2 linked regions of the Astyanax mexicanus genome follow. The main gene of each other region encodes a partner of the protein of the gene in region 2 in a complex. Links are inferred from orthologs where the notes say so. Each region holds a gene or a part of one and is shown on either strand. Other genes may lie near its edges. The genes, in order: trappc11 and trappc8.

Region 1 (8,649 bases), on a different chromosome or scaffold from region 2:
CAGTATCTGGTTATATACCAACTTGGCAGTAAAACGGACGTTTACAACAGTTGTTGATCAGACACTGACCCAGGCTCAGTTTATCAAATATTAAATAATTTAAATTTAAATAATTGTACTGAATATTTTAAATACAGGATCTTTTATATACACCCTTAATGCCCTTAAGAGTAGTGGAAAAACCTGGTTTCCTTCACCTAATGGTGTACAGTTTATTTTTTTTAAGGAGACATTATCTATATAGTTGTTCCAGGTTTCTACAATAAATAGTTAATTGAACAAAAAACCTTTGTTGTAATTTCTTTAAGGGTCAGTTTAATAATATATGTAACAAACTGTGATACCGTGATAACCGTGATACCGCGGTATTTTCTGAGACGGTTATCATACCGTGAAAATCTCATACCGTTGCAACCCTATATGTCACAGTTCCATTATCACTGTTTATTGAAAGTTAAAGTTTGAGTTAAAGAGGACGAGAAAATACAATCTTGGTTTTATACATTTATAAAACCAAGATTGTACTAATACAAATTTGGTTAAAAAAAATTAAGTGAGATAAAATGGTTCCATTGCTGCTCTGTTTGTAGCAGCGCTCTTTGGCTTGTAGGCGCTGCATCATTGCTAGGTTACCTGTATGTGGCGGAGTAATACATGGAGAATTTCGATTACAGCACATTACCGGCTGATAACGGCACTAACAGAACACCTTTCAGCCAATCAAATTGCAGTGTTGGATCTAAACGTGGTATAATAAACAATGTATATTACTTAAATACACAATTAGATATTAACTGATTATTTTTGTTGTTACAATTACTAAATTAACATTTTTAATGTTTTTTTTTTTATCATCCCATATTGTATTAAGTATATTGCCATTCCTCTTAACCATATCAAGACATGAGTTTTTTATTCATATTGACTAGCCCTGACTAGGTCATATTAACTGCCACATATCTAATTAAGTATATATAATATTTTAGTGTTTACTGTTTCCCCCCACACACCTGATCCAGCTGATTAGCTAATTAACAAGCCCTTTCCTGAGCTAAGGTGATACATAATGTATTTCATGTTTGGCATGAAGCTGGATTTCTAAAAACAAAATCAAATAAGATTAATATCTACCTGACAATTTCCACTTTAGTGGCACACTCCGACTGCTTCTCCTTCCACTGAGCATCGTCCCAGTCAAGCTCATAGAACAGCACCACCAGAGAAGGCACCAGGTTCAGGTGTTTATTCATCCAGCCTGTCTTCAGGATGCCTTTAGGAATGTACCACTCGTAGGAGGTCCTCTGGAAGAACATGAACAGCACTGTCATGAAAGCAAAAGATAGATGAACTTAAAAAATAAGCACACGGTGGAATAAGTATCCACTCTTACCTTAGTTCTACACTTCGGGTACTCGTGGTCACCTGGCAGGACTTTAAAGGAAATGGGCACCCTGTCTGCCCTCCTGTTTGCACAGAAAGCGTCCCATATGGCTCTGTGCACTGCGTTATACACCACATCCAGACCGGTCAGAGCCACGAAGGCCATTGGCCTGCAGCACAGCTCTGGGGGGAGATCCCACTGCGTCGGACTCATCTTACCAAGAACTGGCCGTTCAAGAGGGGAACTAAAAAAAAACTAATAATGCAATAAAGAATTAATGACAGAATATTTATTTATAATTATTAACTAATAATTATTTTACTTATGATGCTGCTACTGAATAAACGTCATGGAAAAGATGTTAATCTGTTTCAGAAGGGTCAAATTATTGGCATGCCTCAAGCAGAGAAAACATATAATGCCGACCTTACACCTAACGATTTTCAAGCGATTTTACTGTCGAAGATTTCCAAATATTAAGAGTCAGGATAAAATCACGAGTCTTGCTAGAGTCGAGTTGCATTAGCGTCATCTCAATCTTTCAGTGTTAGGTGGTTAGGACTAAAAGTTTTAGTAAGTCAGATTCGCGTCCTGAAGCTCTAATAAAATCAACCCTGTTCATTATTACAGTAAGTTTTGAGACTTTGCTTACGCAAATAATGACTCGAACAATGTCAACAACCAATAGGAGAGCCATGGGAAGCCGCAATGCAAGAATATTTTACGGGTTGAAGTTAATATGTACAGTTTTTTAAGCACAGGTAGCACTTTAATGTCATCATATTGAAAGTTATTATATTTTGCACTACTTTGATCTATTGTGCAGTACAATTTTTGATACAAACACGTTCAATAAATACACATTCTGCAAGACTGGTGTTTTTTATTGCATTACTTCTATCTAAAAGAAAGGCAAATGTATAGCAATGAAACTGTGATTCTTTGCTATACAAGGTTGTAGCAAAAAAAAAGGGGGGGATAATAATAAAAAAAAGCTTATAGAACGAGTGAAAAACAAAATGTATTCTATTAAAAAATATCAAGAATTAACATTGCGACAGAAAAATAAACTGATGATATAAAATATGTATTGTATGTAAACTCCACCATAAGCATGATGGAAAATAATCTCAGAAAGAATCTATTAGTTGCGGTCTTGCAGTTAGTGATCCCCAGTCTTAGCAAAGTTTTAGCAAGTGAGTAAAATACTATGACTAGTCTTTAGATGTAAGAGGGTGTCAAGACTTTAGTCTGTTACAGTCTTTTCAGAGTCTTTTTAAAGTTGTGCAGTGTATGGACAGTATAAGGAGATTGCTGACACTACTAAAATCTGGTTAATATCTGTCCAATGCATTAATAAAATGTGGAAGGACAGTGGGGAAACATCATCTTCTAGGAAGAAATGCTGTAGGAAAAACGTTCTGAATGAAAATAAATGTTTGGTGAAATCAAATTGTAGAAAAATAAAACTAGAACTCAGGATATGTTTAATAGTGAAAGTAAGAGCATTTCCACACTCACTGCAAAAGGAACTAAAGGGATTGGGACTCAACAGCTGGGTAGTTTTAAGAACTCCACTAATAAGTGATTAGATGTAGTTACTATTTTTTGTCATGTCAATCCCTGTTTTTCACAAATACTCGGCTACACTAAAATGCACTTTTAAAATAAAATATAGATTGATTAATTGATTGAAAGAGCTAAAAGAGCTTAGCTAGCCACTCAGTAGCTAAGCTAGCTAACTAACTAACTAGCTAACTCACAACATGTACAATAAAACTCTAACAAAACAATAATAAATGACTTGCGTGGATTTTAAGCAGCCAAAGAGACAATAAGAGGTGATTTTCTGCAGGGTCTTCTTTATTATCTCAAATTTCAGAGAGTTTAGCTACAGTAAACAGTAAGAGGGCCCTAGCCTGAGTGCACCGAGCTAGCTTAGCAAGCTAACCAGCCTCCTGTCAGCTGAGCTCACCCTGATACACAAACAGCGTATATACAGCTAATAATATTAACACTATGGCTTTTAACTTAGCAGAATTATTAAACAGAGCCTGCTGAAGACTGATAAACACTACAGAGAGGTTTAAACCCTGTTAAACTGCAGAAACTAGAGCAGTGTCAGCACAGACTAATCAACAGAGGTAGCTAACAGAGGCAGAGTCACACCAGCCTGAGCTAGAGGCAGTGACGAGATAATTAATCAGGTTACCTTTTACTGCTGCAGTCTGTTAAATCCGTCTACATCCACTTCATTTACATTAAACCCTGATTAATATCCGTGTTTATCTCCCAGAGCAGCCGGGCCCACACCCCATGACCCTCCGCCACAGCCACCGGTGTTGTGTCGCGATGTGCTACCTCGTCGAATCGTGCTACCACAATGTGGATCCAGTTAAAGCTGCTGAAATAAAACAGTAAATAGAGCGTTTTAAGCTAAATATAAGCCCTGCTAAATCACTGTATTAGGTGGATAATATAGCTAAAAAAAATAACAGTAATAATAAGTATTTTCATTTAAAAATTCAAATTAACCATTTTTAATCACGCAACTAAACAACATTATGAGCTTAGACTGTAATTATATTGTAGCAAAGAAAAGGAAAAAGACAAAAAGGAAAATCATTATTATATGTAAAAAAAAAAAAGCCTGTGAAAATGTGTATCAGCGCATGCGCAGTGCATGTAAGTAGCACATATCGATGGGTAGAACAATATGACAGAGCACCGGCGTTTCTAGACAGACTACCACTTCCCCATATCCCTGTTATAGCAGTAAACACTGCAACCGCTAGGAGGAGCCCGCGAGAGAGTCCAAAATGAATGGAGGTGAATAAAGCTAAACGGCTAAAACTCTAATTTCAAACAGTTACTAACCTTTTCTCCAGAATTTTATTTTAATTATGTAAATGACAATGATGCATTTCACTAAAAGAGCAAAGATATCCTGCTTATATATTTTAGGTTTTCTTCAGTAAACGGGTTTTAGGCAGTAAAAGTGCTAGCATTACTGCTACTGTATGTATATTGACTGGTTGGTGAGCTGATGCTGGAGATAAAAGGTTTATAGCTGGAGTTTAAAAGCTCAGTGATAAAACATGTAGCTAATATTGTTCTGTTTTAAGAAAATTAGTATGGAGCCCCTAAGGTGATATTATGTTAAAAAAATGCATGGCCACGACTTATTAAGGTGTGGGAATGAGATCCTAAGGTGTGGGTACAAAAAAATTAAGGCATGGGAACGAGATCCTAATGCATGGGAATGAGATAATTAAGGTGTAGGAGATCCTAATGTGTGGAAACAACTTATTAAGGTGTGGGAATGAGTTAATTAAATCGTACCCATCAAGGCTTGGGAACAAGATAATTAATGCGTGACAATGAGATAACTGAGGTGCGACAACGAGATAATTAAGGTATGGCCACGACTTATTAAGGCATGGAAATTAGTTATACCTATATTAGTCGTCCCTATTAATGTGTGGGAATAAGTCATAGCTACATGTTAGGATCTTATTCCCACACCCTAATAAGTCATGGCCGCACATTCAGATCTCATTCCCACACCTTAATAAGTCGTGGTCACAACTTAATTATCTTATTTACTCGCCTTACTTATCTCATTTCCATGCGTTAGGATCACATTCCTGCACTTTAATAAATCATGGCCACACATCATATATATTTTTTACATGATGTCACCTTATGGGCTCTGTAAATTACTCAAATTTTTCACTATACATTTTTTAAACATTAATAAACTCTGATTTCGCTCAATTGAAAAAAATTGCATTAAACTGCATTTATTCATTTAAACAAACTCAGCAGACATTATTAAGCGGGTAATCTACTCTCTATAGAGAGTCTCTGGCTCCGCTTCATCTGCGGCTTTGTGCTGCAGAAAGAGCCAATACCAAATTACTGCACTCTACTGGGCAAACAGGGCAATTACTATCTTATTGTGGACAAACGGGGGCAATTGCTGCCCTCTGATGGATAAACAGGGCAAATTCTGCCCTTATTGTGTAAAAGGAATACAACTTTATAAAATTGATGTTTTATATATTTAAAAAACGTTATAAACACCTTACATGACTGTGGAACATATATCATCACTTATGGAAAAAAACATCATAAAATAGAATAAAATAAAATACAAAACACACAAGGCTTCCACCTTTTTTGATTGAGAAATATATATATTTTTTTTTTAACATAGTATTTTTAACATAAAAAACACCAGCAGATGACATGTCTCTCCCAACCATCACTGATTGGTGGAAACTTCACACCAGACCTCAAGCAGTTTGAACTGTGTGTCTCTCCACTCTTTCTCCAGACTCTGCTCCCTTGATTTCCAAATGAAGTGCAAAATTTACTGATGATCAGTGATGGTTTGGAGAGACATGTCATCTGCTGGTGTTGATCCACTGTGTTTTATTATCAAGTCCAAAGTCAGTGCAGTTTTGTTTTCCCACAAAATCTTCCTGCACTTCATGCTTCCCTCTGCTGACAACTTTTATGGAGATGCGGATTTCATTTTCCAGCAGGACTTGGCACACTGCCCACACTGCAGAAATACCAATTGATCTTATATAATATTCTAATTTCCTGAGACACTGATTTTTGTGTTTTTATTGGCTGTCAGCCATAATCGTCAATAATAAAATAAATAAAGTCTTTAAATAGATCACTCTGTGTGTAGGACATCTATATACAATATAGGTTTCTCATTTTAAACTGAATTACTGAAGTAAATGAACTTTTCAATGATATTCTATTTTTTTTTAGATGCACTAGTATTATACATGAGTATTATGTTAGTGGGTACACGTGGTTTGTGCGTGTGTGACGTTTTTTGTGAGGGACCGGTCCTGCGGGGAGCTGAGAGAGCAGCACCATGGCGGATAAAGCGCAGATTCAAGAAGCCATTAAAGTTCAGGGGGAGGTGGTGAGGAAACTGAAGAGCGATAAAGCGAGTAAAGATCAGGTCAGTGTGAGCGAGCCGCCGCTGCTTAAATACTGCTGTTATTAGAGCTGAATACGGGCCTCGTTTACCTGTGTTTCTACATGTGCTAGTTAATGCTAAGCTAACCTGGTGCCGGTCTCTGTGGCCTTCTGTATCATTAATCAGCATTTTTGTACATGTTCTTTAGCTGACAGCAGATATCATCAGTGCAGCCTCAGTTTTCACATTTAAAGAGGCTGTTTTACTGTTTATAATAGCCTTCTAATGTTAATTTTTCAGATTTGAATCGCCTTTTTGAATTGTCCGTTCCACCTTAAATGCTACAGTTGCCGCCTAGGTTTCCGTTCTTATTGTGTCGCAGGTGCCGCATGTTACCGCTGTAAATTTTAAGGTGGAACGGAACTATTGTAAAAACAATAAGGCATCAGGTTAAGCTTCGTTGCTACACGTGTACAAAAGCAAAGCTAGCACATGTTTTGTTATTGTAATGTAGTTTAAGACTTTATTTATGTACAGTTAAAATATTGATGGTTTACTGGGTCAAGCTGACGCAATATCAGAGCCAGAACTGTCATCAAATCATAGTAGACAAACAAAGCACATATTGTCTTGAGTTAAGTATTATTTAAACACTTATTTACTAGCAACCAGTCAAAAAATGGACACACATTTTCTCTGTTTCTGTTTTCTTTATGTTTATTATCTTAATGTTGTAAATGTAATATTGAAGACTATACTGAAGCTAAATAGCAAGATGCATAATTATTTTTTATACAGAAAGTGTTTTAGAAACATTTTTATTTATTTTTCCAAATAAACCCCAAATACATTATGTATTATACATAAGCACAGGTTGTGATACACTTACAAAAACACATACGAGTACCAACATGAAAAAAAAGAAACACACAATAAGACATTGTAACAAACAGTGATTGGGGCATAGTAAAAAGCCTTCAACTAAAACACTGACACATACACAGCAACATTCTTTGCCTACAATGGCAATAAACTCAACACTTAAAATATAGTTCTTATTTTTGTTTGGCATGATACAATTCTGATATCGATATGAACAGTTTGAAAGCCACAGCCCTTTGTGTAAGTAATCACAAACTGATAGAGCTGGATGATATGTTAAAAAAAATTGTATCACAATATTTAAAGACATTTTCACTATACACCGTATTAATCATATTTTCATCTGCCATGGCAGATACTTATGTTCTGTTATTCAAATGCTTTTCGTAGTACACAGTTCATTGGATTCTTATTTAATTTTTGCTGGACATCATCTAATTTAACGGGAATTTACACACTCAGTGTCAGGATCAATGTTCTTTAAGTACAAGTGATATAATCAATATGCATTTTGTCTGTTCAATACAATAAAATATCAATATATTGTCCAGCTTTACCTAGAATTAAATATATTGACATCGAAGAAGTTTTTTTTTTATCTTATGGAAAGTTGCAGTTTTGGAGATTTTTTTTATAGATCATGTTTTTATCTTTGTCTTTGCACTTGTTCTGCTTCACATTTGGGCCATTTTCATTTAAAGTGTCTTTCTTTAAGTTAAAGTGATTTGAGAGGAGGTGTGTGTGTGTGTGTGTGTGTGTGTGTGTGTATGTGAGTGTGTGGTTATTCTGATAATAATGTCAGAGCAGAAGCTTTAGTGTCCAGTTGATTTTGACTCCATGCTCTCATGTTTTGCTCCCTTCATTGCTTCATGCCTCGCTTGTGGGCCGCGGCCCCCTAGTGATAGGGTTGCTCACCACTTTTCTCCTGTTCTTCCTGCTTGTTGCTGCGGATACTGCCTCCATACCTGGGCTCATCATCTTCATCACCTTCATCGTCTTCATCATCTTCCGCTGAATTGATGTTGGAACTGCTGCTGTGATTTTGCTGTTGGACTGCCGGCTCATTCCCCTGGACTGGGATTGGAATTGGGCCTCTGCTGTGTGCACTGACTTTTTGGGGCCTCCTGATATGTGGACTGTGCTGCTGTGTTCCTGAACTGTGTGCTGTGTGTTTGTGGACTGAAACATGGCTTCTCTGGGGCTGGCATGTGTGCGTCTCTGTGCTGGACTGACTGGACGACATGCTGTACCGTGCCTCCGCTCTCTGCGCTACCTCTCTGGAATGACTGTGTCTCAGGTAAGAAAGAGCTGTTTTTACTGTGCACACTCACACAGCCTGTACTGTGTACTGATAAATGGATCTGGATATAGATTTGGAGTAGTTATGCACATAGTAGTTAAAGTTATAGTAGTTATAGTTATGCACATAAACACAGCT
Region 2 (8,944 bases):
GGGATTAAAAAAATATATAAAAAATAGAAATAAAAACTGACATTTATTATAGACGAATAAAATATATACGTAAAAAAGGAAAAATAGGACCTTTTAAAAAGATCACAAAAATTGACATAAGGTAAAAAATATATCTTATGAAGATATATATTTAATGATTTGATTAATAAAAGAAGAAAAATAATTAAAATGAATAAAAAATATTAAATATAAACTCATTAAAAATTCGTTTAAAATAACCCAGGCTTTCTGCAGAATAATCAAAGTTTCAGTTAGTTTCAGTTTCAAATCATGAAAACAGCTCACCAAAACCTCAAACTATTCTTTATATTTGACAATATTTACTTACAGGTCCTTTGCTTGTACTTACAGGCCCTTACTTATTTTTATTCAACTGAACTGAGTTTTATATTATCTGTAGCCTCGCTCTGAATTCAGCTCCGCGCTGCGAAAGAGAGCGAGAGAGCGGCGCAGCGCATTTTGTCCGATTTATCTTGATTAATTATCAGTACATTTATTAGCTTTAGTAAGTTTAATAGCATTAATTTTACTACACTTCTCCGACCTTATTTATTAAAACGTTTATTTTAGAAGACAGAGGTTATTCTGCGCGCAATGACGCGCGCAATGCCATGCGCTGCGCTAAGCTGGCTTTGCATGGCTAATATTCTGAAGCACTGGACGAGATTTTAATTAATAAATTAATATATTTATAATTTTAATAAATTTGCCCTGGCGAAAAGGAACGAATTATAAAATATAGCTTTATATATTTCTGTGCATGTTTTAAGTTTTATATAATTGACGGGCAGCACCAGACGCTGACAATGTGCTTTATTTTTCAGATATAATAGCAAAGTGAAATAAAATAAATTTATGTTTGTCAAAGTTATTTTCTCTTTTAATTTATCTTTTCAAAAACTCCAGCTATTGACTGAGAATAAGCATCTGTTGAAATTATTAAACAGCAGAATGCCTGTGTCTGCTACATTAAGCTATAAGTCTGTGTACCGAACATAAATATAAATCCTTATAACTGACAGAAATAAATATGACTAATAATAATTTATAGTTACTGTGCAGATTTTTGGGAAAACAGGTCGTGACGTTAAGAAATCGGCCCGCAAAATAGCTCACACTGTGAGACAAGCGACCAAAATTTCTGGCATGTCAGAAATCCCTGGTCGCGTCCGACTGCTCATTCGCAGCTCGTATGGGCAATTAATCGGACATCGCTTCCCCTCACACACTGCACGACAAACGACGCACGATCAAGCTAAAATTCGGCCCGATCATGAAATTCAGTCGCATTCGACCAGATCGGGCTTAAAATCAGGCTAAAATCGCAGTGTCCGCCTGGCTTAAAACAGCACACAGGAGTATTTGACACTGCACCTTCTATATATCTATGTGCATCTGTGCATGTTACAGCTGCCAAACAAAAAAATGGCCTTTCTCTGTTGTCAACTGTTCCAAAACATTCCTAAATAAATCAAATTACATCAGCAGACGACACACAGGGATGTTCTTGGAGAACACACCCTCTGCGGACCCAAACAGATTGAGTTTTCTTAGAAGTGCTTAAGTACAGTTTCAAAGAATCTCAAAACACACGTCTATTTTTTTTTTTTCAGCATCTAATGAACACAGTTCTCTTTTAGATTTAGAAAGAGGGTCTAACAAGATACTGTGAAGCATCAGCATGGACATAAAAAAAGCTACTGCCAGGCTAAAGGGCAGAACTATACAGAGCACAAGAGGTGCACTGATGGAGCTTTTTGCTACCAAAACAACATGTGAGCCAACTGTCACATGTAAGAACCTTTGTTGCTCTGGTAGTCTAGAAACAACACAGCATAACATGGATTTAAGTATGCGGCCATTCTCCTTAGAAGAGATTTGGCTCTGAAATTAGACAAAACTCAGGTGCGAAAGACATAGACTTACGAGTTTGACAAAATTCCTAAAAGTGGTACTCTAATCTGAATTGATTTCATTGGTTTGGAGATAATCTTTGCATGTAAAACATAGCCAGTGACCCTTAATACAGTATTGTGCATGCGAGGTGGCAGGATGTACTGTCCAAATATTCTTCCATTTCCTTCTCTGGGCTTTGCAAGATCATGGGAAAAAAAAACAAAAAACTGAGATCACATTTCTTGTTATGACAGCGTGGACAATTTCTTCTCAAACACATCTACTACAATTTTTTTAAATTATTTGTAGTATTAGTTAGAGAGCTTAATTCAGAATTTTTTATTGTGTTTTTTTTATGGAGGCCAACTGCCCTGCACATTTTGGTCCTTTACCTGCCTTAATACACCCACATTACTCAATAACGGGCGTGTTAATCAGCTGTGACAAATTGAATAAGGTGTGTTACTAGCAGGGAAACACTATAAACTGCAGAGCAGTGTGCCCCCAGGACCGGGTTTCAGAAATGTGTGTGTTGGTGAAGAAAGGGAACTGAAGAAACCTCGTCTAGAGATTTCAAAAGTAAAAGAAACACAGAAGCTTCGTTTGAAATTTGTCCATGACGCACAAACACAGCAATATTTAATCAATCCAGCGGCTGCTAAACTGTTCATAATCCCGCTCCTCGTTACTGTTAGAGGAGTGAACTCTGCTCCTCGAGGATTAGCCTGTGTTTATGAGCTAGTTAAGGAGGGTGTAGCCGGGCGCTTAGCTTAGCGGCTAACAGCCGAAAACAGAGCCGGGGTGTTCAGCCCGCTGCTGCTGCTGGAGCTCCTGTCGGCCTGAGGCCTTTATTACAGTCGAAACCCAAACAGTCCAGCCGGAGTCATTAAAGGGAAATGTGTCATTTGATCCGGGTAACCCAATCGCTCAGGTAACCGGTAGACTGAGCGGAACAGACACACAGACCGGGCCCTGAACTGCTCCTCCTGTCAGCTGGCCGACCGGGGGAGCTAGTTAGCAGCCTGCTAGCTAACCTAACTAGCCTTGCTAACTAACTAACTCCGAGTTAAAGCCCGCGGAGCGTCCCAGTGTTTACCGCTGCTCAACAGCCCCTGACACCCCCGCCCGACCTCCACCAGTTAACCCCAAGCTCCTTACCCTCCGAGGGAAGCCGGCAGAAGGGGCGCAGCAGCTCGGGGAAGCTCAGGCTGTTCCTGCGGGTCACTCTCTCCGCCTCCTCGCTGCACAGGACGGCCACCATCGGCACGAACGAGTCCTGGATGAACTCCTGCACAGACTGGGCGCACTGGGCCATGGCGCCGGTCCAGCGGGCAGTCCGAGCGAGAACCGGGGGAGCAGACGAGCCGGGCGCGGGAGTGTCACCGAGAACAGAGGAGCCGCTACAGAGTTAAAAACAAGTCCCTCTACTGACAGCCCGCAGCAGCCATGATGGACTCTACAGTCCCCCCTGCTGACCGATTTAACTCCCGTCGAGCACCACGCCTGTCAGGTGATACCAGACAGGCAGCCTAAACACGTCCCTTCAAAATAAAAGTCTTAATGCGGTCTGTAGAGGAGGGTGAAAAGAGGTAAAACAGAAGAAAGCAAGGGTAATAAAAATAGATTAAATAACTGCGAAACCAGTTGTGAAATATTAATCCATATATTGTGGCGTAAAAGCTACCAAAACGCAGCAATTTAAGGCTTATTATTAATAAAAACACGTTTTTGCACACACGAAAGCTGAAACAGAAAGAACACTAGAGGACGCCCTTGAGCAAGTAATTGTTCAACAGGTTAAAGCATTTTGTAATAATGTACAACTTATAATATAATATATTATATTACTACTAAAATATGCACAGTTTAATCAGGTAAAATGTTACGATTTTTACTAATGGTAACTAATCTGGTTAATGAAAGATAGCAACATTTATATATAAACATAATTTTTACGTCATTAATGTATTAAAATAATGTTGATCTCTGACGTCAGATTTGATATATTTGTGCATATTGATTTTACGTTTATTTCAACATTGTTTCAACTGTCTGGTTTTAAATGTATTATTTGTATTAAAGTTTAGTAACAGTCTACAAAAATGTGAGAAAAGCTATATAATGTTATATATATTGTTTGTATTGTATTCTTTTATCCGGTACTGTAGTCTAGCTATGTAAAAACACATTAAAATAATAATTACTAACATTATTTTTTTTTATTTGTGGTAAGCACATTTTACATAAAAGCATTGTGGATGTAGAAGAGCTCAGCCAACCACTCAAAAACTTTAATTATTTAAAGTTAACATTTTATAAAATAATTGAATTACTAACTGATGCCTATGAGGCGATGTGAAACAAAAACTTGTTTTAAGATTGTTTTTCCATCCTTAATCTTAAAAGATGTAATGCAACCAGAAAATCAACCTTCTTTGCTCTGCTCTCAAAATAAAGGATCTCATGCAATAATCATTAGGTATGAAATATTTCTTCATACCTTTTATAAAGAGAGATTTTTTTTTTTTATGAACATCTTATAACAGTCCGTAAACGAAATGAACAATTAAATAGTTTGTAGCTTTGAAATAAATTGAATTCAAATTAATAATATATAAGTAATGAAAAAATTAAAATTAAAACAAGGGGTTAGCATACATTATATGAATTCAAATATGTTTTATACGTTGGGCATTATTTATGGTTATTTTTCGTTGCTTGTGTGGCAAATTGCTTTTCGTCGTTCTGCTTGTCTCGTTGGGCTTTCCGTAGTTATGTTTTTAGCGGCGGGTAGTAGAGAAGCCGGGCTGCTCAGCCCGCACACTGCGTGTTATTTATTTATTTCACTGGATTAATAATAAGTGTTCAGCTTTTTCTGATAAAATCAGCGCGTGTGGGGATTATAGAGCTCAAGTCCAAGTCACCCTGATTACAGTTAATGATCTTTATTGAGCGTTCGAGTGAGTAATCGTAACATTTACAACGTTAGTTAGGTAGCTAGGTCTTAAGTGCTGTTTACAGCGGTACTGAGCTAGGCTAGCTAACATGCTAGTTAGTTGGACAGGTGTTTATTTAACTAACTGTTTACTGAGACTTTCTTTACACAGTTCAGTTAACCTGGCTGACCAGCTCGCGAGAGGTGTAGCTAGTTAACTATATTGCTTTACATCAGTAGACATTTCTAGTTGTTTTAACTAGCTTCTTTGTCACAGACTAGCTAGCTCGTTGATTGGCTGTCACTTGGAGAGAGCTCGTTTTTACCTCCAAAAAATGTAACACTGTAGACAGCTTCTCTTACCTCATATTCTATTGCCTCGGTTTCCAGTCACTTACTAATGAATTGCTAACGTATAGTAAATACTATAAAACATTGGATACATTTGACAGATAGGTCTAGCATTCTCCAGTAGCTAAATCATAACAAAGATATATTTTCCACAACAGTTTAATGATTCTGTTTGGTCAAGCTTAGATAAACTAATGGTTCATCAAAAACTCAGTATTGCCCTTTATTACAAAGTGTATTTGGTCACATGTTTGGTGCTTGAACATTGCTTCTTGTTTTTGTACTCATGCTACAAAGCCAGTATAGATTTCCACTTCGTTTTAGCCACATGTAGCACATTCTTGTAGCTCCAGTGCAAAACTAGACAATCTCTGAAGAAATTATTTTGCTCAAACCTGGAGAAATTGCATACACTGGTTATTTATTTATGTTTGTTTGACGATTCATTCAGTAAATGATGTCCCTTTAATCTAAGCATTGTTTTTTTTCCATCCTCAGGTTTGGAAACGAAAGGGCTTCACAATGCCTGCTTTCCGACAAGTGGGGGAGAAGCAGCTGCCAAACCCAGTTCTGTACATGGCCTGGTCTCCTAAAAGGGACCTCATCGCTTTGGTCAACACAGCTGGTGAGGTGAGGAAAAAGTTTCTGTACTCTCCACAGTGAGGGTCAATAGTTTCTCCACAAAATAGAACTACATTACCTTTAAAAACAACTCGTGTATCAGCGATTAAACTTAAGTTTAAAATGGATTTGACCTCTGGTGAAACATGTCAACAAGTATGAACCTTTGTGGAATAACCCACCTCTGTTCCCCCTCTGAAATACAGAGCTTGTAGCCAATGCTCCAACAGGCTTACAGAGTTCTCAGTGCCTCATTTAAATGTAAAGCTTCTCAGATTTCTTCCAATAAAGTGTGGAGCTATTTTGAATTTGTTAATGGTGTAAAAATATCTTTGCATGGGCAACACTATCCTCCTATCACTAGCATTGTAAGCCTGTTGGGACCATCAAGTAGAAGCGTTGTATTTTGGAATGTTGGGGGTAAATAGAGGTTTGTTAATTGACACAAGTTCTTACTCATTTTTGGAGTGCATTGTAGTGTATGTTTTACTGCACACCAAGTCCATTTAACGTTGGATTTCACATTTAATTACAAGACACATAGGAAAAAAATCTATAACAAAACTACACTTTTTAAATTAAAATAATTAATTAAAATGACAGAACAGACTCATAGAATTAAGTTACAATTGCAATAGATACTTAACATATTATTAATTATAAATGTTATTAATGTTAATACCTTATTTATTGCTAAAAATTAAAGGGGAATTTTACGCTAAATGTTTTGTGGAAAAGACACAAGTCAACTATTTATATGTATATGAACTAAGTGTGTTTTGCTATGTAATATTTAACACCAGAGAAATATAGATTTCTCACAGTAGTGATTACAGGAACCAGCCATCCAACGAACTAAATTTTCCTAAAAGCTTACTCACAATAAGGTGTTAAAATGGTCATTAAAGAGCTTGTTTTTTCTGCATTTGACCTATGCTGCATTTAGATATATGTTTTACCAAATATTTTTGTACATTACACAGTACAGTATAAAACTCTGTAGTGCTTGTCAGATACTGTACAACACCATTTTAAATCAAACCACTATGAAGTTTTTTTCAACTATTGAACCATGGCAACCATTTATAAAATGGGAAAGAATAATCATTTCAAATATGTCGGTGAAAAAGGCTGGAGAACATGAACAAAGCCTCTAGGAAACATTTTTGGATTTTCTTTAGTTTAGTACACAGACATATATTGCTGAGCGTTTAATAAATACTGTCTGTATCTGAGCTCCAGTTTGTTAACGTTTGGGGTTTAAAATTAATTTCAGCTCCTGCTGCATCGCCTTGCCAACTTTCAGCGTGTGTGGAATTTACCCCCAAGTGAAAATACAGGAAAAGAGATCACATCTTTGGCCTGGAGGCCTGATGGCAAAAGTAAGCCAAAGCTTTCTATGATATTTGAGAATGCTTACTGCCAGAGAATTGACTTAACCCCAAAATAATGAACCTGTATGTTATTGTTGGCAGTCTTGGCATTTAGTCTGGGGGACACAAAGCAGGTGGTCCTGTGTGATGCTGAGAAGGCAGAGATCCTCCACCTGTTTACTGTAGACTACCCCGTGTCTTGCATGCACTGGATGGAAGTGCAGAGTGACAGCAGGTATTATTTTTTTAAATGACACAAAAGAAAGATTGGGATTGTTTTTATAAGTTTGTTTAATCGTTTTCTCTCTTTATTTAAAGTGTATCATCATCGTTCACTGACTCTGAAGACGAGTCCAACCGATTCCTGCCCAAGCTACCAATTTTACCCAAAAGGTTAGTTCAGCAAAGGTGTAATTCATTGCTGATATGTGTTAAAGATTGTGTACTAGAATAGAATGGACACAGGAAACTGACTGCTACAAATGTAAATAAATAAATAAAGGGTGTTCAAGATCATGCATTGGAGAACAGGTTCCAGGTCATCCATAAAACAAATAATAAAAAAGGTATAATAACTCAGCCACACTAGATGCAAATTACAGTATTTTGTTGTTTTGTTTCCTGCCCTTATGGGCTGCTGTAAAGTAGCTGCTTATTAGTTTGAGGTCACCATGTCCAATGCTGAATGTCAGCCAGAGGGGTAAAGGGCCTTCAGCAGTGGAGAATAGAGCAGAGGAAAAGTGTCCTCTGCATTAATAGAGTTATGGCAAATACCATTTGGATGAGCCAAAGTGAAGTTTGTAATCTAGAACTAATTATTCAGTCTATAGTCAAATGTGTCAAAAAGAAAGAAAATCCTGTCTGGCAAAGTTAGTTTTGTATTTTAATACAAATCCATATATTATAATATTAACCCATGTTTTGTTTCTGCTCTAGGTTTAGATGATAAAGCCCTAAAATAATATCATGATATTTCATGGTATTTTTGCGATAACGATACTCTTGGTGATGACAAAACACTAAATTAAAAAAAAAGAAAAATTAAATGTTATTATTGCATATGATATGATACTGCACACCCCTAACTGAGATAATACAAATACAATATTTTTTATCAGATTTGTTACAATAGTCAATGATCCAGAATGTCATGATACTAATGATGCATTCCATATATCTCCATATATCCAGGACTGAAGTAAAATTATTGATACTGGACACATATAATCTGTCTCTAGTAGATATATAATGGGAAATGAGAACAGTGTGGATTCCCCTTTTTAGAAAAAAAAAAAGCAAAAAGTAGTAACCTTATGTGATAATTAGGGGTGGCTGATATTTAAGGGTATAATATAGTTGACGATGTTCAAAATTGTTGGCGACACAAAATTGTTGCGTACAATACGATGTGGCACACCCCTACTCTGCACCGTGATTTGCTCTGTGATCTCAACAACAGTGTTTGCACTATGTGTTGCAATTTTTTATTCCTATATTTAGCAAATTTCTATTTTCAAGAAAACAGCAGTGAAACATTTTGGGCATGGTAAATGCAAGTGCGTTTGTGTATGCGTGTGTGTGCAATTAGAAATTGTAAACCCCAGCGTTGTTTGGCACAAAATAATAGATTAATCAGAGATTAAATACAATAAATAATGCGATAAAATCTAAAAAGAAAAAAAAGCTGCACATTTGAAATCACAGTAATTAAAGTCACAATAACTTTACTGCAATTCTGTTGGGGAAT

Evidence for each region.
Region 1: trappc8 (region 2) and trappc11 share a complex: the UniProt entries of both Homo sapiens proteins name them as parts of the multisubunit TRAPP (transport protein particle) complex. The link is inferred for Astyanax mexicanus from reciprocal best matches to the Homo sapiens genes TRAPPC8 and TRAPPC11.

The regions. Positions count from the first base shown.
Region 1 is NC_064409.1:70,910,115-70,918,763, forward strand, and holds the start of trappc11 (trafficking protein particle complex subunit 11), read right to left. Parts: upstream 3,740-8,649; 5' UTR 3,594-3,739; intron 1,637-3,593; 5' UTR 1,595-1,636; coding exon 1,391-1,594; intron 1,302-1,390; coding exon 1,132-1,301; intron 1-1,131. Other genes in the region: hars (histidine--tRNA ligase), read left to right, coding at 8,398-8,508. UniProt on the Homo sapiens protein: Involved in endoplasmic reticulum to Golgi apparatus trafficking at a very early stage.
Region 2 is NC_064408.1:65,441,813-65,450,756, reverse strand, and holds the start of trappc8 (trafficking protein particle complex subunit 8), read right to left. Parts: upstream 3,406-8,944; 5' UTR 3,233-3,405; coding exon 3,076-3,232; intron 1-3,075. Other genes in the region: anapc4 (anaphase-promoting complex subunit 4), read left to right, coding at 5,726-5,833, 7,101-7,206, 7,300-7,432, 7,516-7,590. UniProt on the Homo sapiens protein: Plays a role in endoplasmic reticulum to Golgi apparatus trafficking at a very early stage. Maintains together with TBC1D14 the cycling pool of ATG9 required for initiation of autophagy. Involved in collagen secretion.